Linked DNA regions of Bombyx mori. The protein of the gene in region 1 purifies or fractionates together with the protein of each later gene. This does not show direct contact. Links are inferred from orthologs where the notes say so. Each region holds a gene or a part of one and is shown in the gene's direction. Other genes may lie near its edges.

Evidence for each region.
Region 2: the proteins of uncharacterized protein LOC101741314 (region 1) and 60S ribosome subunit biogenesis protein NIP7 homolog purify together in Homo sapiens (affinity purification with mass spectrometry; 3 studies listed by BioGRID and IntAct, with this or other methods). This does not show direct contact. The link is inferred for Bombyx mori from reciprocal best matches to the Homo sapiens genes NOP2 and NIP7.
Region 3: the proteins of uncharacterized protein LOC101741314 (region 1) and nucleolar protein 56 fractionate together in Homo sapiens (co-fractionation; 3 studies listed by BioGRID and IntAct, with this or other methods). This does not show direct contact. The link is inferred for Bombyx mori from reciprocal best matches to the Homo sapiens genes NOP2 and NOP56.
Region 4: the proteins of uncharacterized protein LOC101741314 (region 1) and ribosome biogenesis regulatory protein homolog fractionate together in Homo sapiens (co-fractionation; 3 studies listed by BioGRID and IntAct, with this or other methods). This does not show direct contact. The link is inferred for Bombyx mori from reciprocal best matches to the Homo sapiens genes NOP2 and RRS1.

Annotation. Positions count from the first base shown.
Region 1 is NC_085116.1:6,476,864-6,484,808, forward strand, and holds uncharacterized protein LOC101741314, read left to right. Parts: upstream 1-2,453; 5' UTR 2,454-2,609; coding exon 2,610-2,709; intron 2,710-3,420; coding exon 3,421-3,597; intron 3,598-4,168; coding exon 4,169-4,347; intron 4,348-4,690; coding exon 4,691-6,055; intron 6,056-6,356; coding exon 6,357-6,562; intron 6,563-7,108; coding exon 7,109-7,457; 3' UTR 7,458-7,552; downstream 7,553-7,945. UniProt on the Homo sapiens protein: S-adenosyl-L-methionine-dependent methyltransferase that specifically methylates the C(5) position of cytosine 4447 in 28S rRNA. Required for efficient rRNA processing and 60S ribosomal subunit biogenesis.
Region 2 is NC_085130.1:6,213,759-6,221,925, forward strand, and holds 60S ribosome subunit biogenesis protein NIP7 homolog, read left to right. Parts: upstream 1-3,555; 5' UTR 3,556-3,733; coding exon 3,734-3,789; intron 3,790-5,097; coding exon 5,098-5,390; intron 5,391-6,667; coding exon 6,668-6,861; 3' UTR 6,862-6,878; downstream 6,879-8,167.
Region 3 is NC_085132.1:2,377,803-2,384,066, reverse strand, and holds the end of nucleolar protein 56, read left to right. Parts: intron 1-244; coding exon 245-443; intron 444-777; coding exon 778-1,041; intron 1,042-1,461; coding exon 1,462-1,616; intron 1,617-2,057; coding exon 2,058-2,228; intron 2,229-3,004; coding exon 3,005-3,228; 3' UTR 3,229-3,324; downstream 3,325-6,264. Other genes in the region: DNA-directed RNA polymerase I subunit RPA2, read right to left, coding at 4,779-4,958, 5,467-5,631. UniProt on the Homo sapiens protein: Involved in the early to middle stages of 60S ribosomal subunit biogenesis. Required for the biogenesis of box C/D snoRNAs such U3, U8 and U14 snoRNAs. Part of the small subunit (SSU) processome, first precursor of the small eukaryotic ribosomal subunit.
Region 4 is NC_085123.1:3,056,679-3,064,595, forward strand, and holds ribosome biogenesis regulatory protein homolog, read left to right. Parts: upstream 1-3,636; 5' UTR 3,637-4,040; coding exon 4,041-4,189; intron 4,190-4,313; coding exon 4,314-4,586; intron 4,587-4,817; coding exon 4,818-5,037; intron 5,038-5,420; coding exon 5,421-5,683; intron 5,684-5,808; coding exon 5,809-5,962; 3' UTR 5,963-6,015; downstream 6,016-7,917. Other genes in the region: DNA excision repair protein ERCC-6, read right to left, coding at 1-2,501. UniProt on the Homo sapiens protein: Involved in ribosomal large subunit assembly. May regulate the localization of the 5S RNP/5S ribonucleoprotein particle to the nucleolus.

The DNA of each region.
Region 1 (7,945 bases):
GATTTTATTATCATAGACATGAATACAAAACAGATGGCGCGTAACGGAAAAAAGTGACGCGTAACCGAAAAATGTGACGGTAAATTTTTTTCCAACGCCGATAAGGAAGTTTCACTTCAAAAAGTCTCGGCAATCCAATAGTAGTAGTACCTAGTTCCATTTTTCCAACTAGAAAACCGAAACTATCACACCATACAGCCTAAGCTTTGTAAATAGTGTTATATGAAAAATTATATTATCATGGAGCGAAATAAACTGAAGTTCAGTTATCCAATTAATCAATTGGGATGAAATTAAATGAAACAAGTAAAACAGTGGTCATTTACTGAGATTTTTTGAGAGATCCCGAGACGTTAGGTCCTGGGAGTTTGTTACATTTTCTCACTTTGTGCACTTTCATAGATTCTAATTAGTTAATAAACCACTTTTAATATACGTTTAAACAGGAAGAAACACAAAATTAACAAAAAAAAAGTGAGCAGTCACGGGACGCCTGGCAGACGTGAAACATCGACATTATTTGGTAAAATTAATATGCAGAAATGAACAGATTGTGATAGGAACTAAATATGTCATAATGATAAAATAAAATCTATCGAAAAAATAATTTGTTTTCAAGTAAAACACAGGTTATGGGTACTGTAGTAAACAAAACTGTATACACTACGGAGTATACACTATAGATATCTGAGAGAGATGGCTTAACGCCGGATCGAGTGGGAGAGAATCGCACAGTCGATTGCGCATGGCGACGTGTCGCCACGCCAGAAATCGGTTTTACGTGTGGCTATAGATGTTTCACATCAAAATAAAACAGTTCACACAGCTTTACTCCTCGCGTTCCCATCAAAAAGTCCTACCAATGCGATATTACACAAAAAAACAAATAGATAATTTTTGTTTTGTTCATTGCATAGGCGCCATGGGCAAAAGGGCAATTTTTGATGTAACGATCAAAGTTGTGTAGTTTGAAATGTTAAATAAAACTGACTGAAAATAAAATTAAGAAATCAAAGTAAAAGAAAACATTTACCGTAGAATGAGCAGCAATGTCCTCTGTAGGATTTACCATCCAGGATTTACTATTTAGTCCATTTACAATATATAATGATTGAGTTTTTGACTTTCTGTTGCATGTAGCATTTTAACTATGATACGGGTTGGGATTTTGAGTTCCGGTAACTATTGCTTAATGCCCCATATATTAATATGCATTGATAATTATAAACCATAGAAAGAAATATAACGTGTGACTGTGAATGGATAAGTACCGGTAAAATGGGGCGATTAGGGATTGAGAGGCGAATCGGGAAAAAACCGGGAAAATCTTTCGACGCTCAATATAAGTTTTATATTCGTTTCAAAATCTTCCATTTTTTGTAGTTTAATAGTAGAATGTTGAAAGTTCACAAAACAACTCTGAATATGCATGATAATAGCTGCTAACTTATAAAAAATCGCGTTTCAAATTAACTTCCTGTGGTGGTAATTATTTTAGTGCTAGAAACTTTGCTCTCTTTTATTTATTTGATAATAATAGAAGACGACTATGATTTATAAACGTTATTTAGTGTTTGAACCAGCATATATATTAAAAGTAAGTCTCAGTTGTTATTGGTTTTAATGTATTTGATTAAATAAAAATACATGTAAAAATCTGTTGTTTTTGGGGATATTGGGGACGTCTTAGGTACAAATAACAACGAAAAAGGGGTCAATTGGGATGAGAATACGTGAAATGGAAACTACCTAAGTATAAATAGGTACAGGTTTGTAGGGTTGTCTATGTAGTTATAACAATATTTTTTATATTTGTTGGTAAAAATCTGGTTTATTCGAAGCGAAATTGGGAATAAGTCTTTATTTGAAATAGATAAGCAATTTAATATAAGTAAGTTGATTTTGCAGAGACATGTAACAAGATTAATGAAATCTCAAGGTGGACAAAAATGTCTAAGTAATACTTAATAAAATATTTAATATTTGTTCAGAGTGGGGGTATTCATCTGATTAATCCATGGAATAACCGACACACCTAATCTCTTAACCCAGATAGAAATATCAGCACTGTCGATTGCACCAATAATTGAGGTGATGTCTGCCATGTACTTTTGTCAGTTTTTCAATTTTTTTTATTGATGATCACTTTGTTGGTGCAATTAAATAAATAAATAAATTAAAACTATATATAAAAATAAAAGTAGTGCCAACCCTAGCAAATTTCTCATTTCGTCCCAATTAACCGCAATTTTCGGGTAAATAGGGATTACACCTATTTTTGCATTTTTTGCTTAAACTGGAATGCTAGTTGCATAATTTTAAATTAGACAACAAAAATGCCCCCAAGACTCAATCATTTTGATCCTGATATAGCATTATATACATCAACAACTACCTTAAAATTGCTCATAAAGTTGGAATTTGTCCCTAATCGCCCCATTTTACGGTAATCTGTAAAAATGACACCAACCCATAGATAATAAATTGAATGTATCAAAGTATCAATCAAAATATAACCTACCAGCACGTGTGAACTTTGCAGTGTTTTTCAAGTAGGTACATAATCAAGTTATTAATAATTAATTGAAGTGGAAAATTAGTTGTCGAAAATGGGTAGAAAAGCGAAATTTGATGAGACGAAAAAAGTGAAAAAAGGTCCTGGAAGGAAAGCAAAAAAACAGCCCGATCCAGTATTTAGAAAGGAGCTATGTGAGTATTCCACATAATCGTTTGTTACAAATCAACACAATCTTAATTTCAAGTTTATTACATTTTTAAAAATAACTAAGAAATTGACATTATTATCCACCACCCCGTTATTTTCTGCCAAAAATTCAAATCTACAATTTGTTCTCGAACTACGAACATTTCAAAATTATAGTTAGTTTAAATGATTAGGCAGTTCCCCAATTTTTACCCTAGCACTGCTTTTAGCATTGTGGATTATTTATTCAATAAATACTGACCATTTATAGTCCACATTGTCACACACATGTTGTATATTTGAGTCGTCTATTATCAAAGGTGGCAATCTGTGCATTTGGACAAAAAAATGTTATTGATATGTCAATACAGATTGATTTGAATATAATGGCTGAGCCTTTGCTCGCCCACCTGTCCTGGTGAAACTGGAAAGGCCTTCGGGCCACCAGTAAACTTTCAATCATGAATATAATCGTCTCCTTCAAAGAATACGGTTCAAAACCTGCATTAAATAAAGGTTAATACTTAACCTGTTATTTATCTAAGATGTCGTTCAGAAGAGTTTTCTGACTGCCAATGGAATACAAAGTCAATAATTCGTTTTTCTGATTTACCAATAATTGTCCAAAAGTCACAATGCCGGCTTTGATAATAGTCGACTCATTTATCACATGTCAACCTTTATATTTTCATAATAGTTTTGTTTTCCTATTTTAGTAGAGACTGAAGATCAGGTGAAAAAACTGACTCACAGGCAAAAGCAAAGGGCCGCAAAACGTGCCAAAAAAAAGGCTGAAATAGTTGAAAAAAGAAAAGCTATAAAACAAGGCAAGAAAAATGAAGCTAAAGAAATTGAGACAAATGACGAAGACATTAAAAAACCAGTTGTAAAAGGTAAAGCTGACCAATTAAAAAAAAAAATACATCTTTTTTTGTTTTTGTTTATTGCATAGATGGCTGGACGAGCTCATAGCCCACCTGGTGTTAATTGGTTACCGAAGCCCATAGACATCTACAACGTAAATGCCACCACCCACCTTGAGATATGAGTTCTAAGGTCTCAGTATAGTTACAAAGGCTACACCCCACCCTTCAAAGCATTTCTTCTTCATGGCAGAAATAGGCAGGGTAGTGGTACCTACCTGTGCGGACTCACAAGAGGTCCTACCATCAGTAAAAGTTCTTGGTTTTCTCAAATTCCTGTTTTTGAATGTTTGGTTGCTTGCTTTTTAAACCTCTATGATCTTATTGTGAGTAATGCAAAGGGTACCAGCTAACCTATGTTATTTTCCCATCTTCTATCTCCAGTTGTAGTATTTTTCCTTTAGTACTCCTTTTCTTTATCTTTGTTCTTTATTATTCTATTGTGTTCTATCATAGCTGTCTGAAGATGACTTCCAACTATAATTCGTGTAGTTAATGCACCCAAATGAAGCAATATAAAATGGTTAATGTAATATTCCAGGTTACTCTGATGACAACAAAGAATGGCTGAAACCAAAACAGAAGGTTAAACAACAGAAAAAACAAAAAGATTCAGACAGTGACATTTGTGATCAAGATGAGGGTTCAGAGATGGAGCAGGACTCTGAAGCTGAAAGTGAGCATGAAGAAGAAACAAAAACTGTCAGTGAAAAGTATAAGGTAAAACTAATCTTACAACTTTCTCCTAAATAGTTAATGAGTGCTATACATTGTAATAATACTGGTGGTAGAACCTTTCATGAGTCCGCACGGGTAGGTACCACCACCCTGCCTACTTCTGTTGTGAAGCAGTAATGTGTTTCGGTTTGAAGGATGGGGCAGCCGTTGTAACTATACTTGAGACCTTAGAATTTATATCTCAAGGTGGGTGGCGCATTTACGTCGTAGATGTCAATGGGCTCCAGTAACCACTTAACACCAGGTGGGCTGTGAGCTTGTCCACGCAATAAAATAAAGTAATGGTTTATCACAGAAGATAATTTGATTTGTTAAACACTTGTAGGTGGGAACTCTTGATGATCTATTCAAAGATTCTGATGAAGAGGAGGCGGATCCAAGTTCAGAAGAAGAAGGATCTGTAAATAGTGGCAATGCAGGATATAATTCTGATTCAAGTGAAGAAGAATCTGATGAGGATGGTGATGATGAGGATATGCTGCCTATTGAAAAAGCAAATGTGAAGCTGAAGAAGAAACAAAAGGAGGAAAAGAAATTGGCAGATGAGGAAATGCAATTGAATATATCAAAACAAGATGTTTTTGCTTTCCCTTCAGAAGAAGAGCTACAGAATCCTACCAGCCTTCAAGATGTACAACAAAGGATCAAAGATGTAGTCTCTGTTTTGACAGAATTTAATAGATTAAAAGAGGAAGGGCGTTCAAGATGTGAATACACAGACTTATTACTTAAAGATCTTTGTACCTATTATAGTTATAATGAGTTTTTGATGGAAGTTCTTATGCAAATATTTCCTGTACAAGAATTAGTGGAGTTTTTGGAAGCAAGTGAGATTGCTAGACCTGTGACGATAAGAACTAACAGTCTCAAAACTAGAAGAAGAGATTTAGCCCAGGCATTGATTAATCGAGGAGTCAATTTGGACCCAGTTGGCAAATGGAGCAAGGTTGGCCTTGTTATTTATAGTTCCACAGTACCTATTGGTGCAACGCCTGAGTATTTAGCTGGTCACTATATATTACAAGGTGCATCAAGTTTTTTACCAGTAATGGCATTAGCCCCTCAAGAAAATGAGAGAATATTAGATATGTGTGCTGCTCCAGGTGGGAAAGCGTCACATATAGCTGCTATAATGAAAAATACTGGTGCCTTATTTGCAAATGATGCAAACAAAGAAAGAACAAAAGCAGTTGTGGGAAATTTCCACAGATTGGGTGTAGTCAATGCTGTTATATGCAATTATGATGGTCGACAATTCCCTGAAGTTATTAAAGGGTTTGACAGGGTATTGCTTGACGCACCATGTACTGGTACTGGGGTAATTGCTAAAGATCCCAGTGTAAAGACTACGAAAGACCAGAAGGACATACAAAGGTGTTTTAATTTGCAGAGGCAGCTATTGTTAGCTGCAATTGATTGTTGTAATGCCAAATCAAGTACGGGCGGGTATATTGTGTACTCCACTTGTTCTATTTTACCTGAAGAAAATGAATGGGTTGTAAATTACGCATTGAAGAGACGAAATGTGAAATTGGTTCCCACAGGCCTTGATTTTGGAACTGAAGGTTTTATGAAATACAGGCATCATAGGTTCCATCCATCATTAAAATTGACTAGAAGATTTTATCCTCACACACATAATATGGATGGATTCTTTGTCGCTAAATTAAAGAAATTCTCCAATGTCATTGTAAGTTTTTTATGAAGTACCATCGTAATAATGACCTACTAAATTAACCTGAATTTGTTTTTTACTCTAAATGGTCTTACAGTCCATCTAATATGAATTTACACTGGGGACTTTGCCAATAAGAAATTGATGTCTCAAAAGAAGGGAAAGCTTTCTATTATTTCTTCTAGAAAGAATCAATTTAAAAGAAATGAGATTTTACAATAGTCTTATCAGTATAGTATAATTGGTGACTCAGTAGTAGTTCAAGAAATAGTTCCATTTTACATATTTAGTGAACTTTATTTTTATTTATTTTTAGCCTGAGGCAGTTATAGATGATGATGATAAGGAAACCGAAGGTGCAGATGAAGAAACAGTTGTCACAAACGAAGGAGATCAGTCTACAGATGCCATTTCTAATAATGTAACTTCCAAGGTCAGTGGCCCCCAGAAAAGAACTTTGGAGCCAGAGTCGAATATAGCTGAGCCACAAACAAAGAAAATGAAAGGTGAAAATGCAAAAAGGTAATTTTCAATTAATGTTTTTTTTTTTTATTGCTTAGATGAGTGGACGAGCCTTGATATATCAGTTCTGAGGTCTCAGTATAGTTACAACGGCTGCCCCGCCCTACAAACCGAAACGCATTACTACTTCACGGCAGAAATAGGCAGGGCGGTGGTACCTACCCGCGCGGACTCACAAGAGGTCCTACCACCAGTAATTACGCAAATTCTAATTTTGCGGGTTTGATTTTTATTACACGATGTTATTCCTTCACCGTGGAAGTCAATCGTGAATATTTGTAGAGTACGTATTTCATTAGAAAAATTGGTACCCGGGCTGGGATTCGAACCCCGGTGCATCGCTCAACACGAATGCACCGGACGACTTTATCGTTAAGGTCACGACGACTTCTTGATGTTAAGGGAAGTGTTGTTTTTAAAGCAGTGTTTATTTATTTATTATAAAATTACAAGTCTGGTATACCAATGTTATATCAGAGAATAGTACGAACTGTGTTAACATTGAATCATAGAAACAACTAGAAAACTTTGTTACCTTATTTTCAGTTCCACTGGAAACGCTGCGGTCAATAAGAAAAATAAAAATAAAAATAAGAAGGGACCTCAGTCACAGAACCTAAACAACTCAAATAGTAGAGTTCAGGGTAAAATGGGCAGTGCAGAAAAATTGCAAAACTCAAGAAAGCAGCAAGAACCCTCACTACATGGTCAAGGAAAGCAACATGAAAAGAAAAATAGTAAACTTGGTAAAAACAGAAAAGTAAATGGTCTGACTGAAAATAAAAATAAAAAGGCAAATGAAAACAAACCTAACAGTTCCAATCCAATGAAGACAACAAATAAAAAGCATAGTAAAATTAATAAAAATCACAGTAAAATCAAAAGAAAGGTTTGATAAACGTTTATGTAAGGATAGCATAAAAGAAAGTGAGAATTTATGTGCTATTTGACATATTATATTGGATTGTAATAAAGTTACTGCTATTATAAGTAATGGTTTTTCTTTCTACATGCATAATTATATCAATTTATGACATTTAAATAGGTATTAAACACTTAAAAAAACTGAAATATTACTTCATATGCCTCCACCTAATATTAAATTGATCTAATGGCTATAAATATGGCAAATTTCGTATTAAAATAACAAACCCTGAAAATCTTCGTAAATTTTTAAAAGGCTTAAAATAAATGTATGCCAGTGAATAGTGTAATTAAATGATACTAAAGTTAGTAGCAATTTTAATGCAGCAGCAGTTTTAAGTTCCTTTTGAAGATTGTTTTTATTTCAGATTTTTTGTTATTTGGTTTTATTTTTCTACGACACCATGTTTTTGAGATAAACCATGTCACTGCCACAACTGAGAGGAATCTAAGGAAACT
Region 2 (8,167 bases), on another chromosome or scaffold:
AAGTTATCTACTAATACATAGAAATAAAGGTTTCAGCATGAGACACAAAATTTAGCCTTTTTAAACCGATACATTTGGTGGTACATTTTGGCGTTAGTGACGCCATAATTTTACTCTCATTTTTTGTTATTTTTTGCCTGTTTTATCATACTAAATGCGATTAATATGTTAGATCAACTAATTGTATGTAGTTATTGAAGGTAGCGAAGTTAAAGTTGTAGAATCGTTTATTGACTTTGTAGAAACTAAAGGAAAAACTGCTGTTGAAATCACAGATATGATTTTAACGAAATTAGAAAATGACGGTTTAGATATAAAAAATTGCAGAGGACAGGCTTACGATAATGCTGCCGTCATGGCAGGAAAGCACAGCGGTGTTCAAACTCGTATTAAAGAAATAAATCCAAATGCAGAATTTGTAGCATGTACAAATCATTCCTTAAACCTGGCATGTTTGCACGCAGCTTCTACAGCTATCAATTCCATCACATTTTTTGGAACTATCGAACAGTTGTTTTCGTTGTTTTCTTCTTCCACTCATAGATGGAATGTTTTACTTTCGGTCACTGGAGCGCTAGAGCTGCAGCGGTAACTATAGTAAAAAAACATTTTTTTTACATTTTAAGCGCTTTGGAAAAATTGACATCTGAAGCAAGGGCGGATCCAGCTTTGGCGCCAGGAGGGGGTCACATAGTCAAATTTAGATGCGTTCGTTCCCAAACGTTTTCCATTATACAAAGTTATTATATTATAATAAATTAATTAAATATTGAAGGTATGTAGTTACATAAAATATGTATGGTGACAAAATATATATGTCGGCACACGTCAGGGATGGCTGAGCGGTAGGTTCCGTCATCACTCGTATTCGATTGAACTCAGTTTAGTCAATAAAACTTTTCAATAATAATTATTGAAACTCAACACACACAAGTTTCACAATGACAGGATAAACCGACAGTTTCGTTGCACATACCGACAGACCGACTGACTGACTGACTGACTGTCAGAGACTCACTGCTGAGACGGACGGAATCACTGTCTGACACGAATGCCACGACTCTGTCCACGTACCGCTATTTTATACTGTGGCGTTACGGTGTCTACCCTTCATTTTGTGATATTTATCAAAACAACATTTCATCATTTAAAATAATAATCAAAACCACCGTCTTAACATTACTAAAAGTCGTTATCCACGACAACTAAAAGTCGTTATCCACGACATATAAATAAAATCATTATATTCAATTAGTGGTCCACCTAAGTCCTGGACCCAGCTCAGGGGGTGGTCATGACCCCCATGACCCTCCCCCTGGATCCGCCATTGATCTGAAGAAGAAAATAGTAAAACGCGATCAGATGCTGGAGTATTACTCAATTCTATGCAATCTTTTTCTTTTCTATGTTACCTTCATTTATGGGAATCCGTTCTTTTGGAAATTAATGACGCTCAAAAATACCTGCAAATAAAGGGGTTAAATGTCCACCAATGCCATATAAAACTAAATTCTTTGCAAACACATTTAATGGAACAAAGAGATACGCTAGTACAAAACGCTGTTATAGCTGCCAAAATAATTTGTGAAGAGATGGAAATATCGACAGAGCGTCGAGTTAGAAGGAGAAAAAATATGAGTGGGGAAAATTCTCAAGACGTGGGGCTATCCTTAGAAGAAGAAGTACGAAGAGAAATGTTTTCATCTATGGACAGAATTATAAAGGAAATAAAAGAACGCTTCGATCAATTGCATGGTCTTGTAAGAAAATATTCGTGTATAATACCGTGTAACCTACTAAATGAAGAATTTGAATGTCAAATAAATGATTTGATCGACATTGATAAAGAACAGTTCCATATTGAAAGAAAAAGGATCCAGGTTTTTATGGCTGTATCTACACTAAAAGAAGAGGTAAAACATTGGAAAAACGGGGAGAAGGGCCCTCTCGACCTGCTAAAATTTATTCAGCAGTATAGGTTGGAAAATTCTGTTCCCAATATTGTAATTTTGTTAAGATTTTTCTTAACAATTTGAATCAGTGTCGCTAGTTGCGAAAGAAGCTTCTCAAAATTGAAGTTGATAAAAAATTATCTTCGTTCTACAATGAGTCAATCAAGACTACAAAATCTTGCAATATTGTCAATAGAACAAGAAATTACAAATAATATAAATTTTGAGAGCATTATACACGATTTTTCTAGTATGAAAGCTAGAAGAGTAGATATTATATAAATATGTTTACGAGTGCATACAAATAAGTCTAAAAAATTTACTCTGTGGATTAATTAATATTGATTAAATAACTTAATAATTTATTTATGTGCATTAATTTATAAAAACCACTATTTGATTGACTTATAATAGAAAGGGCGGCAGACTGGAGATCGCCCCGGGCGGCAAAAGTTCTAGGTACGCCACTGTGTACAACACCTACTTTATGGCTACCGAAAAGTTTATGCTTAAAAAGGTTACATATAATCTTACTCTATGGTTTATGCGAAGGATCCTGAGTTGTGTGGAGTATTATTTTCTATAGATGTACATACTTGTCAGTGTAAAACAAAGGTAGATAACGCGAATGAAAATAATAAACTCGTAATTTGAATCACAAATGGCGAATTTGTAAAGCAAGCGCGTCACAAGTATCCTCAGAGTGCGTAGACCTGTGCGTCTCTGATTTTAATTAATTTAAAACAGATGACTTCTTGTGATGTGATTCATCTTAATATGCCTTTCGCGGTATGTAAATAGCAAACAAAGGGAATCATATATTTCATTTGTTTTATTTTATATTCGAATACCTTAAATGTATATTTAAATTTAAAAAAATCATAATCGCACATTTATAATAACTTGTAGGAGTGTATGTACATAAGTTATCACCACAGCCGGTCTTGATTTCATACTTAAAGTTTATATAATTCATAACAAACTTTTAAAAGTTTAAGAGAGTCTGCATAGTTATTTATCTATTTACCATTTACTGCTTGCTTGGTATATTTAAAAATTTAAACGAATCAGAAAGATAATAAAGGATATGTACATATTTACAAAAAATACTTTTGACACTAAATTTTGTTTTTATCACGTGTTATTCGCTCACTCATTTATTTCATGGTCATTCAATGAAAACAGATGTTGAATGAAAAGTTAACTCGCCACCAATTTGTAAGCACTTAAAAGTGCTAAAAAACTATTTTAAGCAGTTATTTTTTCGAAAAGTAGCATACATTACTGAACTCGTAACTGTAATGAAATAAAAGTAACTACTCACCGAAACTTCCCACACACCGCTTCTCTATGAGAGCATAAGGAATGAATCACAGGAATGAATTGTAGTGACAAAGGCGCACTGAGTGAGATTATTTTGATGATCTCTGAATAATTTCGTTCAGAAATTCCAACATAAAGTATTTTAAACTTGTTTTTTTTTAAATACCCTATGATAGAAAGTCGCTTTGAGATTACGTTTCTTATTGACAATAAATGAAATTATCTTTTTCGAGTAAGATATTTTTTTGTGAGATGTATTTAAATAGTTTGGTCGAGGGGTATGTATAGGAGTCCATTTTCTACTTGTTGATCTCATTCGTTCATTACTGTCAAATTTATCATTTGACACTTCTGAATTGAATATCTAACCGTACTGTCAAAACTAGGATGGTTGATGTTTTTGGTAACGTTTAACTCACGTGTTTTTATTTTTAGAGAATATAATAAAATAATTGAAAATGAAAGTATTATCAGAAGATCGTACAAGAATATTATTCGAGAAGCTAACCAAATAGTGAGTATTTCTGAATATTCTTAGTAGAAATTTGGGCTACACAGCCACATTGTATTTATAAAACAACATATTTCTAACCACAATTTTTATTTATTTCTCGCATCGCTGGTCATGATTCCGATCTGATGGAAGATTCAGCAAAGCATTGTTCTTGCTGGGGCTAGAGTTGACAATTTTTTTGGGTTGAGCCTGTCAGCTCACCCACCCATTCACGTGTAGTTGGAATAGCCCAGTGGTCTACCAACGATTAGGTAAAGAATAAAAATAAAAAATATTAATAGTAATAAATATGGAGTATTTATTAGTTCTATAATTAATAAATAATAAACTACTTATTTATTATCAATTACCAAAATAAAGAGTACATACTTACTGAGTGTAAGGTGATTTTTGAGCCAGTAGAGGTAGGCACCTCCACCTCCACCTCCTGGCTATTATGATGCAAAGCAGCTATGCGTTCCATCAGTATACTAAATAATTGGAACTCAAGTCTCAAGGTGGGTTGCAGATTCACATGTCTATGGGCTTACCACTGAAACCCTAGTGAGTTCTTGTTTACTCATTTAAGTAAATAGAAAAATAAAGACATATACAAAGCCACATGTCAAAGTTGACATTTTCTTTTATTACATTTATGTCATACTTTATCTTCACACCTTCGTACCTTAATATGTAAGAAAGTTTTTTTTCTTAATTATCTTGTAGTTTACTGAATAGTCTAATTTGTTTAAGCTTTTTTTATTTATTTCTTAGATGGGTGGACGAGCTCACAGCCCACCTGGTGTTAAGTGGTTACTGGAGCCCATAGACATCTACAACGTAAATGCGCCACCCACCTTGAGATATAAGTTCTAAGGTCTCAGTATAGTTACAACGGCTACCCCACCCTTCAAACCGAAACGCATTACTGCTTCACGGCAGAAATAGGCAGGGCGGTGGTACCTACCCGTGCGGACTCACAATAGGTCCTACCACCAGTGATTACCGTGGAAGTCAATCGTGAACATTTGTTAAGTACGTATTTCATTCGAAAAATTGGTACCCGCCTGCGGGATTCGAACACCGGTGCATCACAACAACGAATGCACCGAACGCCTTATCCTTTAGGCCACGACGACGACAAGCCGTCGTCGCGCACGTAGTATACTAGTTTCAACACACTACTGTATTGTTTTGAAAGAATTTGGTTGAAAAATCCTCCATTTTTGACATGTTGCTGTGTATATAGGGTATATCGATAAGGCAACTTAACAATAGAAAAAGGTTTCAAAATAATTCTTTGATTCTAATTTAAACATTTGATTTTAGCATTGGAGTAAACGTTAAGTTATTAATAGACAGACCTGATGGCACATATTGCTTCAGAGAGAAGAAAGACAGAGTGTATTACATATCAGAGAAGCTACTGCATCTAGCACAGACAGTGAAGCCGGACAACTTAGTATCTGCGGGGACATGCTTCGGAAAGTTCACAAAGACAAATAAATTTAGGTTGCACATTACAGCTTTGACTTACATATCACCCTATGCGCCGTTCAAAGTGTGGGTGAAGCCGTCTGCGGAACAACAGTTCTTGTATGGACACCACATCATCAAAAGTGGTTAGTATTATAAGTTTTCTTCATAAGGGCTAGGATAACATAGATTAAACCTTCAACAGTGCAGTAACCGGATTGTGGAGGGACCAACTGTCATTTTAATTGTTTTAATTATTCAACTAACATGCTCCTTGTGTACTTAGAAATAGATTTAAAAATGCAGTGTATTAGTGAGGGTACTTGTTTTCCTTTTAATAAAAGGATTGCTAAGTGCGGGTTGCATAAAGACAGACACACAATAAACTGATTTGTTACCGAACACATGTGCTTAAGTTCATTATTAAATAATAAAGTATATATTTTACATAACCTAATAACTTAATTTTTTGTAGTAAAAATTATATAAGAAAAAATTTACAATGAATTGAAATTTTTTTAGGACTAGGCTGGTTGAGATTACTTTATTTCATGCTTAAAAAATACAATAGACATTTTCCTTGAAAGAGATAGCATCAATAAAAAATAATGCTATTACTAAATCTTACATTGAGGAAATGGATAACGTATTCAACGCAATAAACCAAGCAAACTAAAAATCTGGATGAGTGGGGTTAATACCGATAGGAGCTAAGTGGTTACCAAAGTTCATAGACATAGGTTCATCTTCAAACTGGAATGCATAATTGCATTGCGGCAGATATAGGCAGTCTGGTGATATTTATCTTTGCTAGGTTACAATATGCTGTACCACTGGAAAATTAAGGTTTGCAGTTGCTGTGTCATTTTATAATACTCAGAAAACCCTACTGCCCCCCCCCGCTCTCTTGTGTAGTCCTTAGTTAGCATTTATGATTCATAGCAAGAGATCAGAGGTGAGAAGGCAGATATAACACATTAATAAACAATTATTGGATATATATGACATCATCATTTCTCAGAGAGAATATTGTTAGGAATGTTTGATATGATTAAAGATTGAATATATTACACAAAGATAGTAATCTATACTAATATATAAATCTATATTGTTTTTTACGGATGTTCCGTTATAACTACTGAACCATGCATCTGATTTACTTGAAACTTGGTATCAATGTAGAAAATACATGTACTTAATGGATAGGCTAATATTTATATGAGTGTTAGACTCGCTACACCAGTTGCGGGGGCGTTAATGATGAGAAACTGTGGGGGGCGAGAAATAATAATGTTAATTTTAAATGCCCAGCGAAGCGGACGGGTACAACTATTTGTATAATAATACTATTAGTTAGCATTGTTATCGGTATCCATATTCTTCAATCAACAGTTCAGTATAAAGGATATTGTTTTATTTCCAGGCTTGGGCCGGATAACAGAAAATACACCGAAACATCAAGGTGTGGTGGTATTAACGATGTCAGATATTCCGATTGGCTTTGGCGTAGCTTCAAGAACGACGGCAGAATGTCGACACGCTGATCCTTTGGCGACGATTGTCTTCCACCAGGCCGACGTAGGAGAATATATACGCTCTGAGGATACGCTTACGTAGTAAATAATGAAAAGGAATCGGGTTCTTGTTTTATTTACAACAAAAAATGTGACATATGTTTTGTCAGTTAGTTTTATTTATTATAAAGAATATTTCAACCCAGTCATGCTCAAAGCTATTTCTAACTAGCTGACCCGGCAGACTTCGTAATGCCTCAATCGAGAAATAAAAGACCTAAACTTTTGTATAAAATAAACTTAAAACAAACAAAAGGAATCTGTCCGACGGGGGACACGAGAGGGAAAACAAAATTGTTATTTTTATTTAATTTCGAGCATTTTCATATTTATCTACCTTTTAAACCTTCCCTGGACTTCCACAAATAATTCTCTCGAGTTCTAGCGAGACTAACGAACAGCAATTCATTTTTAAATATTTTATAGATAGATTAGTGTGAAAAAGACCGATTGATATTAATCACTCGCCATATATCGTTGTTAAGTGTTATACGACAATCTCTTGGGGTATAATTTAAAAAAACCCCGGTATGTCTACGTGTCGATAGTATTCCTGACAAAAAGTAACTACACGTCTGAAGTTTTATGCATTTGTGAAACTCATCGATTCCCATATCTCATACTTTATCTTAAAATCCACAGTGGATGCCTAAAACAACGTAGATGGCGCCACTGTCAAATTTTCAAGTTTTTAACTTGCGCTGATATTGCATTTTCCTTGTCCTCGGTGTATTTATGATAATTCTTGTTAAATGAGTCGACTATTATCAAAGCCGGCAATGTGACTTTTGGACAATTATTGGTAAATCAGAAAAAACGAATTATTGACTTTGTATTCCATTGGCAGTCACAAAACTCTTCTGAACGACATCTTAGATAAATAACAGGTTAACTATTAACCTTAATTTAATGCAGGTGTTGAACCGTATTCTTTGAAGGAGACGATTATATTCAAATCAATCTGTATTGACATGTCAATAATTTTTTTTTGTCCAAATGCACAGATTGCGGCCTTTGATTATTATCAATTCTATTGACGACTCATTAATAATACGTAGAAACAGTTTAAAATAGTATTATATTTTTTACCAAACTGCCACCTTTTATTGCGCTTTTGAACTAATTTTTATGATTGGAAGTTTACAACCTTAGTTACGTAATTGTGTCCGTTCAATTTTCACGCTTTTGCCGTTCGAAACTAGGTAGCGCGCAAATCAAATCTTTATTGTATGTAAATCATATAGGTACTTATTAACTCCATGATGTAAATCTATATATTAATACGTGAAACAAAAACTTTGTATCCCTTTTTACGAAAATTGCGCGGACGGAGGAGTATGAAATTTTCC
Region 3 (6,264 bases), on another chromosome or scaffold:
GTCTCAGTATAGTTACAACGGCTACCCCACCCTTCGAACTGAAACGCATTACTGCTTCACGGCGGAAATAGGCGGGGTGGTGGTACCTACCCGTGCGGACTCACAAGAGGTCTTACCACCAGTGAATCTATGTTTCTTTATCTCACTTTGGATCTTAATCGTATTTGGTGAGGTAATTAATGTCATTTGTCAGAATTAAGACGACAAATGTGAAAATACTAAGTTTTCTTTGTTCTTTAAACAGGCATACGTTATCACTTCCACTCGCTCATCAAAGGCCTTACCCTCAAAGCATGCAGTGTGGCACAGCTTGGTCTTGGCCACTCATACTCACGAGCTCGTGTCAAGTTCAATGTTCACCGAGTGGACAACATGATCATACAATCAATAGCCCTGCTCGATCAACTTGACAAAGATGTTAACACTTTCTCCATGAGAATAAGGTGAGGTTTTTTTTTTTATATTGCATAGATGGATAAACGAGCTCATAGCCCACCTGCATTTAAGTGGTTACTGGAGCCCATACACATCTACAACGTAAATGCGCCACCCACCTCGAGATATAAGTTCTAAGGTCTCAGTATAGTAACAACGGCAACCCCACCCTTCGAACCGAAACGCATTACTGCTTCACGGCGGAAATAGGCGGGGTGGTGGAACCTACCCGTGCGGACTCCCAAGAGTACAAAAATTAGTACCACTAGTACAAAAATATAAAATATTGTGAAAATGTTGTTACTAAATCTTGTAGACTTACTAATTTTGTACTGTTTCTAGAGAATGGTATTCCTATCACTTCCCGGAGCTTGTGTCAATTGTTCCTGAAAATCACCTGTACACAAAATGCGCCGAGTTCATAAAAGATAGGAAGACCCTGTGCGAAGAGTCATTAGAACCGCTCACTGAGATCCTGGGAGACTCCGAGAAGGCGCAGGCTATCATAGATGCCTCGAAAATGTCCATGGGAATGGATATTTCACCAGTTGACTTGATTAACATCCAAATGTTTGCTGGCAGAGTAGTAGCACTCAGCAATTATAGGTTAGTATAATGTTTATTTAAAATTTAAATAGATGCTTAATACTTTGTTTGTTGATTCATGATAGCATATATTTTAAAATCTTATAAGAGTATCATGTGGATAAAAATTTAAAAGAAATTAAAAAGTTACTTGTTCACTATTTTACTCTGTTATGCTATCAATAATTTAAATCTCCTCCTTCTCTTTGCATTGTGTTCCCCAGTGCTGAGGGTTGTGACCTTTACGAAACATTGTTGTTAGAACTATGTTCCTCCATTCTATCCTATCTGCGCAGTGGATAGCGATATTGATGCTGGAGTCCAATGTGGTCTTATTTGATTCGAAATTGTCATTTAATTTCAATCTTAAAAAGGACCTATTGAAAATCTGTTAACATCAAGAAATAACTAATAATTTCAATTAACATTGTGTCCCCACAGAAAACAGATTTCAGAATACCTGCATAGTAAGATGAACTCCGTAGCACCTAATTTGTCTACGTTGGTTGGAGATCAAGTTGGAGCCAGGCTGATCTCCAAGGCTGGCTCCCTGACCAACCTTGCCAAGTATCCCGCATCTACATTGCAGATATTGGGTAAGTTGGTCACATTTTTCAATTTACAAGTCTAGCTGATCATCAACATACAATTTTAAATATACACTGATAACCACAACATAGTATAAAACAAAGTCTGTCCCTATATCCCTATGTATGCTTAAATCTTTAAAACTACGCAACGGATTTTGATGCGTTTTTTCTTAATAGATAAAGTGATTGAAGAGGAAGGTTTATATGTATCATAACATCCATTAAATAGTGGAGAAATCAATAATAAATTACAGTTTCCGAAGCGAAGCGAGGGCGGGTCGCTAGTAATTATAATAAATACAATTTCTCTAATAACCATTACTAAGAATAAATAAGTATAAAATATCAAATATTGAAAATATCTCCAACATGATTTACATTTTTGTTGTATTTCCCCTATTGTAAGATAACAATTTTCTATACAAATGATTTTATTACAAAATTCAGGTGCAGAAAAAGCTCTCTTCCGAGCTCTGAAGACACGTTCGAATACTCCAAAATATGGTCTGCTATACCACTCCACGTTCATTGGACGTGCCGGACTGAAGAACAAAGGTCGGATCAGCAGATATCTGGCCAATAAGTGCTCAATTGCATCCAGGATCGATTGTTTCTCTGGTAATTAAATTTTTCTGACTAGAAAACTTAATTGTCATAAAAGTTTAAACAATGAACGATATTGTTTTACGTTTTTTTTTCTATTAACAGCTTTTCTTGAGCCTTACCACCAAGCCTTCACAAGCAACAAATTTATCTGAAAGATATCTAGGCACACTGTGATCTACCGTCAGTATTGTAAATAACTTGCGGTAATAAGGGTCGTGCTATATTAATTGCTATATCCAGTAACTGTCATAAGTAATTAATTATGGCAGTTTTTAAATGTTCGCTACATTGCCTTACTGAGATTTCATAAACTACCTATATAATTGTATAAAAAAAGGAAAATTTTAAAAATATGTACTTAGATAGATCGATAAAAAGTTAAAAAAGTTTATACATATTTCAATATCGACGCTTGAAAGGCAAACGACTAAGCGACAATAATTGCTTTGTACATAAACGATAGGCAATAACCATATTCGGTGTGCAAAAAATATATATATTTCTATTAAAATCATTTCAATCCTACAGCTAGATTCGTTAAAATAGAATTTTTTTCAGGTATTTCAACTTTAAATTAGCCTACTGTAAAGTTCACGCATTGTCGCTTAGTCACGTTTGCCTTTCAAGCGTCGATATGTATTCTTTATTAAATTCTCAGACAAAATTGTATTTTTTTTATGCGATATAGTAACAGCTCAAAAGCTGGTGGGACCTTTTTCCCATCCATAGAAGAATGATATACATATTTTATTTTGGAAAGACTCAAAATAACTCTTGAAATGTTACAGAAATGCAATCAGCTGTATTTGGTGAAAAACTCCGTCAGCAAGTAGAAGACCGTCTGAAATTCTATGAGACCGGTGATATTCCCAAAAAGAATATTGAAGTGATGAAGGAAGCTATGGACGAAGTTCAGAAGGCTGTTGACGCCGAGGCCAGTGCCAAGAAGAAAAAGAAAAAGAAGAAGAAGAAGTCCGAATTAGACGAGAGTGTGGCCATGGACGAAGATTAGTCGAATAATGTAGAATTTAATTACTATTGGTGTTAAGATATTGTACCTTTAAAAATAAAGTATTTCAGACGGTTTTATGGACCAACAAAACTGCTATCTTGGAGTTATTTCTTTTAACCCTACTTTTAATCAAATACTAAGCGTCGCCCGATGCATCTGTCAATTCCACTTTTAATTTAAGAATTCAATTTGTTATGGCGCATTACCTTGGCCTGTATAAAACATACATAGAGTAAGAATGAGAAATGTCAAAACGAAAGATAGAACCATAGATTATACACTTGATAGAACGTAATACCCACCATATTTTTTAACGTAAAATAGATTAAATACTTAGTACTATACAAACGATGTTTTTTTTTAACAAATCTACATATACTATCTGGCCAATGCTCATTTGTTTTGTGGAATTAGAATCGAGTATCGAGTGATGCGAAAAAAAGTAAAAATAATTATTACCTAATTCGTATCGAGATACAATATGTACCACGAATTCAGTTAAAGAAAATTTAACCGAAGTAGAGATTCGTGAAATAACACTATACTTTGTGCATTATTTTATTTAAAAAGATTATAAATTTTAAACAATTTAGTACTGCACTTTTCTGTATTAGAGATGCGACCATATATTGGGATAAAATAAATCTATAATTAAATAAGATCTAAATATCACAAGTGGAGTCCTCAGAAAGCATACGAGCAGTAATTATTTCATAACATAGCCTTGTATAAAACACAGTTGACTTCGAACTCATGTCTACAACGTCGACATCTATAAGTTCCCTCGACTTGTAGTTTGTGAGTTTGTCTACCCATTAAACTTTATTAAAAACAGAATGGTACATTTAAAAAAACAAATTTAATATTGTTTACTTATCTATTTTAATAAAACTGTTTCCTTTATTTTTTTAAGGGATTTTATGACCTGGTAACTGAGATCTTTAAGTCAAGTCTTCTTTTAATTTATATTCTCAATTTTATGAAAAATGATATTATGGGATGAAATGAAATGAAGATGATTAATTTGAGACATTAATCAACTGGGATGAAATTAAATGAAATGATATGGGATGAAATATAAACTCAGTAAAATGGTGGTCATTTACTAAGATTTTTTCAGTGGACTTTTTGTAGGATCCCGAGAAGTTACGTCCAGCGGCTTTGTTTCATTTTCCCACATTTGTGCACTTTCACACATATTAAACAGTTAATAAACCACCATTATTACACATTTAAACCCGAAGAAACACTAAATAGACAAAATAAAACAAATCACACAACTTCACTCCTCGCGTTCCCGCCAAAAAGTCCCCTGTTTGCTTTAAATGTCATTTGATACATAGATTATATTTCTGTTGCTTACCCTTTTTAAATCTCTTTAGTTAATCTGTATTGGTGAACTTGAAGAAAACTTTTTAATAAAGAGTCTTTATGTTCTTTGTAAATGTAATTTTAAAATGTTTTCTTTGCCCTCAAATATCAGTGCATATTAGGGAATTAGAAGCTCGTTTGAAATAAAACCAGGCAATGTATTTAATTACAATTCGGATTTATTGTTGTATAGTTTTGTCGACGCACTTGAGGCTGCAGTTGACGTGCAACGCCGCGAGTTGCGTCGCGAACAGCTTGTAGACGTGCGGCGCCCGCACCGCGCCCGCCCGCCCCCCGCACGCGCACGCGCCGCCCCCCCGCGCGCCCGCCACGCTGCCGCACGACGTGCACACCGCCATCTGGCGCCGCACACACACACACGCTTAGTACTGACGCTAACACGTCGCATTACAGCACAACTCAAGTACATACTGAGATTAAAACACGCTACACACAAAAAAATATAATTTGCGTAATTACTGGTGGTAGGACCTCTTGTGAGTCCGTGCGGGTAGGTACCACCGGCTAACCTATTTTTGCCGTGAAGCAGTAATGCGTTTCGGTTTGAAGGGTGGGGCAGCCGTTGTGACTATACTGAGACCTTAGAACTATATCTCAAGGTGGGTGGCGCATTTACGTTATAGATGTCTATGGGCTCCGGTAACCACTTAACACCAGGTGGGCTGTGAGCTCGTTCACACAGCCAAACAATAAAAAAAACCCAGCATAGGTAGGAAAAAAAAATCCTACAATCTACGGTATCGTTTTAGAAAGTCATATTTCTTTAAAGGTTAAATTAAAAGTTAAGGTAAAGTAAAGTTAGGTCGGTGAGGTATCGATATGAAGAGCAAGCAGTACGTCACCGACCTCTGTCTCGTCGGAGCAGCGCAGCAGGCGGTCCTGCAGCAGGAAGGCGGCGCCGTGCGACACCAGCGCGTCCCGCTCCATCTCCCCCAGCCGCACGCCGCCCCCGCGCCGCCGCCCCTTCACCGGCTGCCGGGTCAGCGCGTCCACGGGCCCGGTGGTGCGGACCTGTACACACACACCGCCGTATAACAGCCGCCCCACCCTTCAAACCGGGATGTTGTTCCCGACGGCACTAGACGGTCTCTCCATAGAGATTTGTCTCTGACCTTCTTCTTGCTTCGGTTTCCTCAATACCGAGGGTCGTGACCTCCTCGCAACAAGAGTTTATTCCGGACCATTCCACGCTATTTGCCTCTATCTGCCGCCGAGTGTAGAGCATCGTGAACTGTGATGTCGAGGGTAGTGCAGCTCTGGTCAGTCCAACGTATCGAACGTTTCGGGCCTCTACCGACCACACACCACCAATATAGTAAAAGAAGGGATTCTAAATAAAGCTTTTTTTTTTTGGTTTTTTGAAGTGAAACTTCTAAAGCGACTTCCAACAAGGTTGCTAGAAAGAGACAGAGCGAGAGTGAATGCGCGCAGTATACCTGTTACAGGCCAGCGCGAGCGTTAGTAACGTGTAGTGTCATATATTTTAATGAAGTAAAATTTTTATATAAATTAATATAAATAAGATGACGCATCTATTATACACAGCATTCCCTATTACAAGAGCGGTCTGATTTCAGGATGAAAAACGAAGAAAACCACAATACTACAAATCTCAAAAGAAGTTTCACTTCATACACATGCACC
Region 4 (7,917 bases), on another chromosome or scaffold:
TGTTTAATATCTTTTACAGTACTTTCATTAGTTTCAAGTTGAGAGTTGTCAATGTTGGTAGGTTTCTCTTCATCTACTTCTTTAATATCTTGTTCATTATCTTCTAGTACACTTTTCAACAATTGTTCTTCATAATCTTTCTTTGCATGCATTTTTACAATATCTAATTCTGACAAAACATCTTCAAAAGCTACATTGGTTATTTTATCATCAACTAAATTAATATCTGGTTCTTCCACTTTAGGTGGACATAATAATTGTTCTCTTTTCTTTTTATATTCTTCACGTGGATCACTTTCCTGTGTTCCCTTCATGGATTCTTTTGATATTTTTTTACTTATTTCTTTTGCTAATCTTTTCATGGCTTCTAACTTTGTTTTAGATGAAATATCCAAGTCATTATCATTCTTATTGGTTTTATTGATAATTTTGGTATGTTTAAAAATTGATGCAGTTTCAGTATCTCCTTCACGGTTAAGCTCTTCAAGAGTGAACAGTCCCTGTAATGTACTGGTGGTTAAAAAATTCTTTTGATTTGGGTCCACAAAAATTTTATTACTCAAGAAATGTTTGAATATCTGCCTCTGATAAATCTTTTCCTCTATAGTCCCAGCTGACAACAATCTATAAACTGTTACATTTCTAGACTGGCCTATCCTCCATGCTCTTTCCTTTGCTTGATCATCTGTTGCAGGATTCCAATCAGGATCATATATTATCACTCTGTCGGCTCCAGTTAAATTTACACCTAAGCCACCTACTCTAGTTGTGGAAAGAAAAACTAAATAATCAGTGTTATCATTAAAAGTTTTAATCAAGTTTTGCCTTTGGCCAACATTAACTGTACCATCCATTTTGAGGTATGTAAAGCCTTGATTTTGTAAATACTGTTCTAACAGACACAGCATTACTCTTGACTGAGAGAATATGAGAGCTCTATGTCCCTGTTTTTTCCATATTTTAAGTAATGAATTAACAACAGTCATTTTTCCAGATCTCTTCCAATGGCCAAATATCTCTTCATCTATCTGTTCTTCATCTTCTTGAGCTTCGTAGAGATAAATATCAGGATGATTGCATATTTTCCTTAGCGTTGACAGAGCCACTAGTAGCCTCGCTCTTAATGGATTTCCAAATTTATTTTCTTTGTCTAAGATGCTTCTCACTGTATTACTCATAAGGTAACCCATATAAAGATCTCTTTGCTCTTGTGTTAAAGAACAGAATAGAACTTGTTCATTCTTTTCTGGGAGTTTGATATGTCCTTGTACCTCAGCCTTAGTTCTCCTCAGCATGTAAGGAGTGATCATATTTTTCAAAGCAATAGCTATTTCCATGGCAGTAGCTTCCTGTATTTCAGTAGCATTAGCATAGCCTCCTTGAGTGATTGGAACTGCAAAGTGTTCTATGAATGCATTGTATGTCCCCAACAAACCTGGCCTCATAAAATCAAATAATGACCACAGTTCCTGCAAACTGTTCTGCATTGGTGAGCCTGTTATTAACAATCTGTGTGGTGTCTGGATTTTTTTTACAATTTTACTTACTTGTGTATCAGGATTACGTATTTTGTGTCCTTCATCCAAAATTAAATAATGCCAACTATAAGCATTAAGTTCTTTATGATACTTTACTATGCCTGCATATGTTACTAACAAGATTCCATGAGCACTGTGTATATCCCTTAATAGTTTATGGTGATTACCAGCATGAGAGCCAGTGTGATGCAGTACAGCTACTCTGAGCAGGGGGCACCAATAATGAAAATGAGATACCCATTGATATATAACTGTTGCAGGTGTGATAATGATACTCGGACCAAGACCACCCCATGATCCTAAATTGGTTTTTGAAAGGGCAGTTAGGAATGCAATGACTTGTATTGTTTTACCAAGTCCCATTTCATCACCTAACAATCCACCAGAATCCACTTGATGCAACTCCCAAAGCCATTTAACACCAGTTCTTTGAAATTTATATAACTGTTTCCAAATATATTTTGGTACTAATAGACCATTCTGGAGTTCATGCATTTCATCGCTATCTTTATTACCATCCAGGATGTACTGTATGTCAGCGGTTAACGTGCATCCTTCATATGTACCGCTTTTCACAGTATTTAATCCTTCACGCCAAACCTCTACCCTTAAATTGTATTGTTTAATATCACCGTCGTCAACAATTCGGTTTATATTCTGTTTGGTACGAGAAGAACACGCAGTAAGCGGAAAATTATGGATACTGTCGTCTTCCTCATCGGAAGGTACAAAATCGATGTCATCGAGGTGTCCTTCAGTTGAAGTCCCTGATGTCACAGTAGTTTTTACATCTACTTTTTGATTGTGGGGAAATTTTGACAGAGTCTTTGCCTGTTTTTGCGATATGTAATCAGCAGCAGATTTGCTTTTAGTTGATACATCTTCTTTCTGACTATTTTTCCTCTCAATTTGCTTTTTCGCTAATTCAAGTTGCATTTCTAAATATTTGTTTATGTCCACCATTTGGGTTAGTTTTAGTTCTTGACATTGAAATTCAGTTTATTTAGGTAATGTATTTATTGCTTTTTGTACACAATAATAAACTAAACTCAAATATTAAGTGTTTAATCTTTAATTTAACAAGTTAATCTTACTTAATCTTAAGTTAACAAATCCTACGAGCATTAGAATAATTAAAACATTTATTTTAATTGAAAATGTCAGTTAAGCGATATTTTTCTTTTTTTAGAGTTTATAATGCTACGCTAGTTACGCTACAATTTAAGTGTATAATCTATGGCTACAATCATAGAGCTAGAGTTGAACTTATTAACTCCATGGCTAATATGGCTATAGTACGGTATTCCTTCCTACTCTGCGTCAAGTCGGCTCTACACTCGCGGCGCGAACGCGACAACTGCGAATTCACGAGTGTAGATGTTGTTCACGCCTTCTCGTTCGCGCGTCGCTCCCCGATCTGTGTCGGTTTTATGGCCCGCGACAAAGGGTTTGCGGCACGCGAACGTGAATGTATCCACACTCGCAGCTTACCGCAGTAGCGTACAGGACATCGTAGAGTGGTTATGCGTGCGTTGGTGATTGATCCTAATATAAATGGTGGAATAATGATCTGGAACTGACTCTCATTTATTGCCATAAACCTAAGCCGAAACATCAAGACCACAAAAATGAGAATAAGGTTCATGATGCCTGGACACGCATAAGTGCTATCTTAAATACACCTGTAACTGAGTCAGAGTTAAAGAAAAATAAAGAATCACTTAAGTCGAGCTATAGATTGTATAGAAAGAAAGTGAAGTGTATGTAGAATACACAGCAGCAGCAGAAATCACGTCGTCGTCGATCATAATCGCGAACAAGGCTGAGCTGTGAAGCTTTGTGAGTGTGGAGGGACACAGTTCTGGCGCAGATCATGGTGTTTCTTCACAGTGCGACGTCATACGCGAGTGTTGAGGCAGAGTTACAGATTATTAAAAAGTTACTATGTAACGTTTATGTTTATGTCTTATCTATCATTAAACCTTGGTAGAGGGCTATGCATAATACATTTCGTTTATACTTTATATCACTATACCTGTTCCTGTTTGGACATGCTCCATAATCTTCATTTATTAACTCGCTGGTGATACAAAGGGAACGAAGCCCCTACACCTTTTAGTTACTGTACAGTACAGTGATGCGCGGTAATAGAACTGAATACATAAATATTTATAGATTATAAAATAAAAATGAACTTGAGTTCCATCGTTTCAATATATATGTATGTACATAAAAATTCTAAAATAATTATTCTACGTGCATAGATTATCTACTACAATAAGCTACCAATATGATGACATGTGTTAAATATTTATTATCTATGCCAGAGTTCAAAACGTGGTTGCCCAGAAAACTACGAAATCATAAATATATGTAATTAAATTGTAAAAAAAAAATACATTTTGAGGTTATTTTTCAACAAAAGTAAAGCAAGGAAAATATTAGCTCAAGTCAAATAAGCTTGTTAATTCTAATGTGTAAAAAGGAAGTGTTCTGATAACAATGGATATTGTAAATGAGATATTAGAAAGGGAACAAAAGAAAGCAGATAAATATAAACCAATAACGGTCGAAAAACATTTGGAATTAGAATTCGACCTAGGTTCACTATTGGCCTCTGACACAAACGATTTGGACATAAAAACGCTGAAGTAAGTCTTCATCTTATCTCATTTTAGCAAACGCATAGTCACTATTAATTTCAGGATTAAACATAAATTTAGTTAACAGCACATGTTTTGTTATCAAATTAAATTGATTTTATGTGTTGTTTAGGACAAACAAAGATTCATATTTACTTGCATTGACCCGTGACAATGCTCAGCTACTACTGAATAAAGTATGGGAGCTTCCCACTGAAAGAATCGAAGAGGCCATAGTAGTTCGATTGCCACAACCTACGACAATCCTACCCCGAGCCAAGCCAGTGCCTGTACCTAAGCCATTAACTAAATGGCAAGAGTTCGCAAAAGCCAAGGGTATTAATAAGAAAAAGAAAGACAAACTTCAATGGGATGAACAGCTGCAGAAATGGGTTCCTTTATATGGGTGAGTTTTCAATAGTAGAATAATGAAAGTTGTCTAGAAAACTATAAACACAAACCATAAAAACCTTATTTACAAAAGTTTTTAGGCAGAAATTAAAAATTGATATCATCATTTTAAAATCTGTATTTTATAGTCAAACCAATAGCCAGGATGTTGTAAAACACATTGTCCGTTTATTATTGTCGGCAATCAACTATATCTATAATTGACTATATAATTCTGTATCATCAGTTTCAAGAAAACTGCAGCTGAAAAAGAGAAGAACTGGCTTATAGAAGTCCCACAGAATTTAGATCCTATGACAGATATGTATGAAAAGAAAGCCGGTGAAAAATCAGAAAAGGTTGCAAAGAATGAATTACAGAGACTTAAGAATCTCGCTAGAGCCAAAAAGGTTAAAATACCAAGGGTGGGGCTTCCTGTCACTTCAGATAAAGCTTCTGCCACACAGGTAGGATCAAGTAGAAAAATATATATTGTACTGAATTATAATTTTTCCTTTTTCAGTTTCAAATTAGACATCTTATACAATGATAATAGTATACTTTAATAAATACATGTCTAATTCAATGAAAGGACAATTTTCCTTTTTCTATTCTAGATGATCTCAAAGTAGCATACCTGATCTTTCTTACAGCCAAGCAGCATTTGCTGTTTGTAATTAAGTTAGAATTAGATATACTACAACTTTTTAACTGTTGCAATTTTATTGCTAAACTATTACATTCATCTTGTTTTGCTTATCCATTACATTATTGTTTAAAGATAATAATTTAAATGATTTTATAAATATATGAATGCATAAATCTACAATTATTTTTCATAATTTTCCAGTTATCCACAGCAGCAAGTGTAGCAAAAGCATCAACGGCTTCTCTTGGAAAATTCCAAGATAAATTACCCAAAGAGAAAGAAGCACGCGGTAAAGGTGTACATGAGCTAATCCCAGGCAAGGAGAGGAAACGTAAAGCACCTATACCAACACCGGCAGCAGAAAAAGAATACAACCTGAATCTACTTGATAATATACTGAGTAAGAGGCCAAAAATTGATATGGATAAAGCTGTAGCGAAAAGTATAAATGAAGAGGAAGTCAAGTAAGTAAATTATTTTTATTTTATTGTAAATTTGAAAATGATATAATCAGAATTTTTTTTTTAAAGTTTTTATTTTATTACTTCGAAGTAAATGAGCTGATTTCTATTGTTTGTATTATCATTAGGAGATCACACGAAAAGAAAAATATGAAACCCGGCTTAGGAAAACGTAAAACTCAAGGTAAAGGCAATGCAACAAATTTCTCAGCCAAGAAACCTAAAGCAGGAAAGGGAAAAAGGGCACCAAATAAGAAATCTACTGGACGGAAAAGGAGATAGAACTATGATATAAGCCTTACAGAATGTATTACTAATAAAAACTAAAATACTGACACTTGTTTTTTTGTTTTCCTTAACTATTAATAAAACCCTTAAAAATGAGGCGTTCATTGTTTTAAATCGAAAAATATGTTTGGTTTTGAACGTAACAAGAGTGAAGTCGTCGTGGCCTAAAAGAACAAGGTGTCTCCAATACTCTCGTATCGAGTGATTCTCGTCGAAACTGTCGCTTGCGGCGCAGGGCTAGGCGAGTAAATTAACCCACAGACACAAGTCACAGAGTTTCTCGTCGGATCTTTTCGCGTCGCGGGTCGTTTCCGGGTCGCGTTTCCGATCCGGCGGTAGGTTCTGCGAAGCACTGTTCTGCACTGAGTGATGCGACTATGCCAGTGTTCGAGTCCCGCAGGCATGTACAAATTTTTCTGATGAAATAGTTACGTACTAACCTAACAAATGTTCATGAATGCTTCACGATGAAGGAATATCATCGTGTAATAAAAATGAAACCAGTTTGTGTAATTACTGGTGTGAGGCCGTCTTGTAAGCCCGCACGGGTAGGTATCACCATCCTACCTTGGTTTGGAAGGTAGGGTAGCCGTTGTACTTAAAAATTGAGACTTCGAATACATGTCCAAGGTGGGTGACCGCATTTACATGCGTAATGTCTATGAGCTCCGGTGACCACTTAACACCGGGTGGGCCGTGAGTCCATCCATCCAACTTAGCAATAAAAGAAATTAAAAAAAAGCCAATTTCGAGGTATCTACTATACTAATATTATAAAGCTGAAGAGTTTGTTTGTTTGTTTGAACGCGCTAATCTCAGGAACTACTAGTCCGATTTGATAAATTATTTCAGTGTCAGATAGCCCATTTATTGAGGAAGGCTATAGGCTATACGCTAAGACCAATACAAACGGAATACCAATAAAGAATGTTTCTAAATCGTTTTTTTCTTTCTACGTAAATGAAGTCGCAGGTAAAATTTCGATGCCTCCAATGAACACTACGCTAACTCTAAATTCATAGATTTACAGGAGGAGCGTTTAAACGAAAAAAGTCGATAAAATCTTTATTATTGCAGATATATTTATGGTTTTTTTGTGTAACTAGCTGATTTACTCTTGCTTCGAACCCCATCAATAATGATTAATTGTAATACTTTTAAAATAGTGAAGCGATTTGCGTGAAAAACGAAAATTTCAAAATTTTCAGTTAGAGTAGTGTTCATTGGAGGCATCGAATTTTAGCGTTGTGGCAAAGTAACTATTCCACGCGGACGAAGTCGCGGACAAAAGCTAGTTTGGTATGAAATTCATTAATATAGAAAGAGTCAGGATATTGTTTTTATTTCTCTAGACAGTTTCGAAGACTATCCGACTTAGTTTTAGGCCAATACTGGAGCCCGCACTCTACACAACTTCAACTATCGGTCTTGAGCCGTAAATCCGTAATTCAATCTGTCATCTACATTACTTTACTGGCATGTAACTAAATTTAATTATAATCTAACAAAGACAGCACCTCCAAAATTACCTTGTTTGGCCAACCATACACATTTAATAAAATAAAAGTCTGTATTTTTTCTATTGCTTTAATTACATTTGTTTCTATGGAATTTGACTAGACACTAACGAAGAATTAAAAATCTTCACAATCAACATTTAGAAGGAGAAGGTAAAATTTGTAATACTGTAAATCAGTTTATAACCTACATAATTCGTCGTTAAGCGTACCTACTTATCTACATCAAATTCTAATTATAATAAAGTTTATTAATGGAAGCTTCTAATGTTTAGCTACTTACTACAAACCCGTGTTTTCAAATCTTTTGGACAGTCATAATAAACTATAACATAACTCATAATAAAAATGGAATCGCGTAATTAGTCTACCGGTCTTAGCGGTTCATAGAGGTTCATAGAGTTCACAGATTAAGGTTATGAAGGTACATAC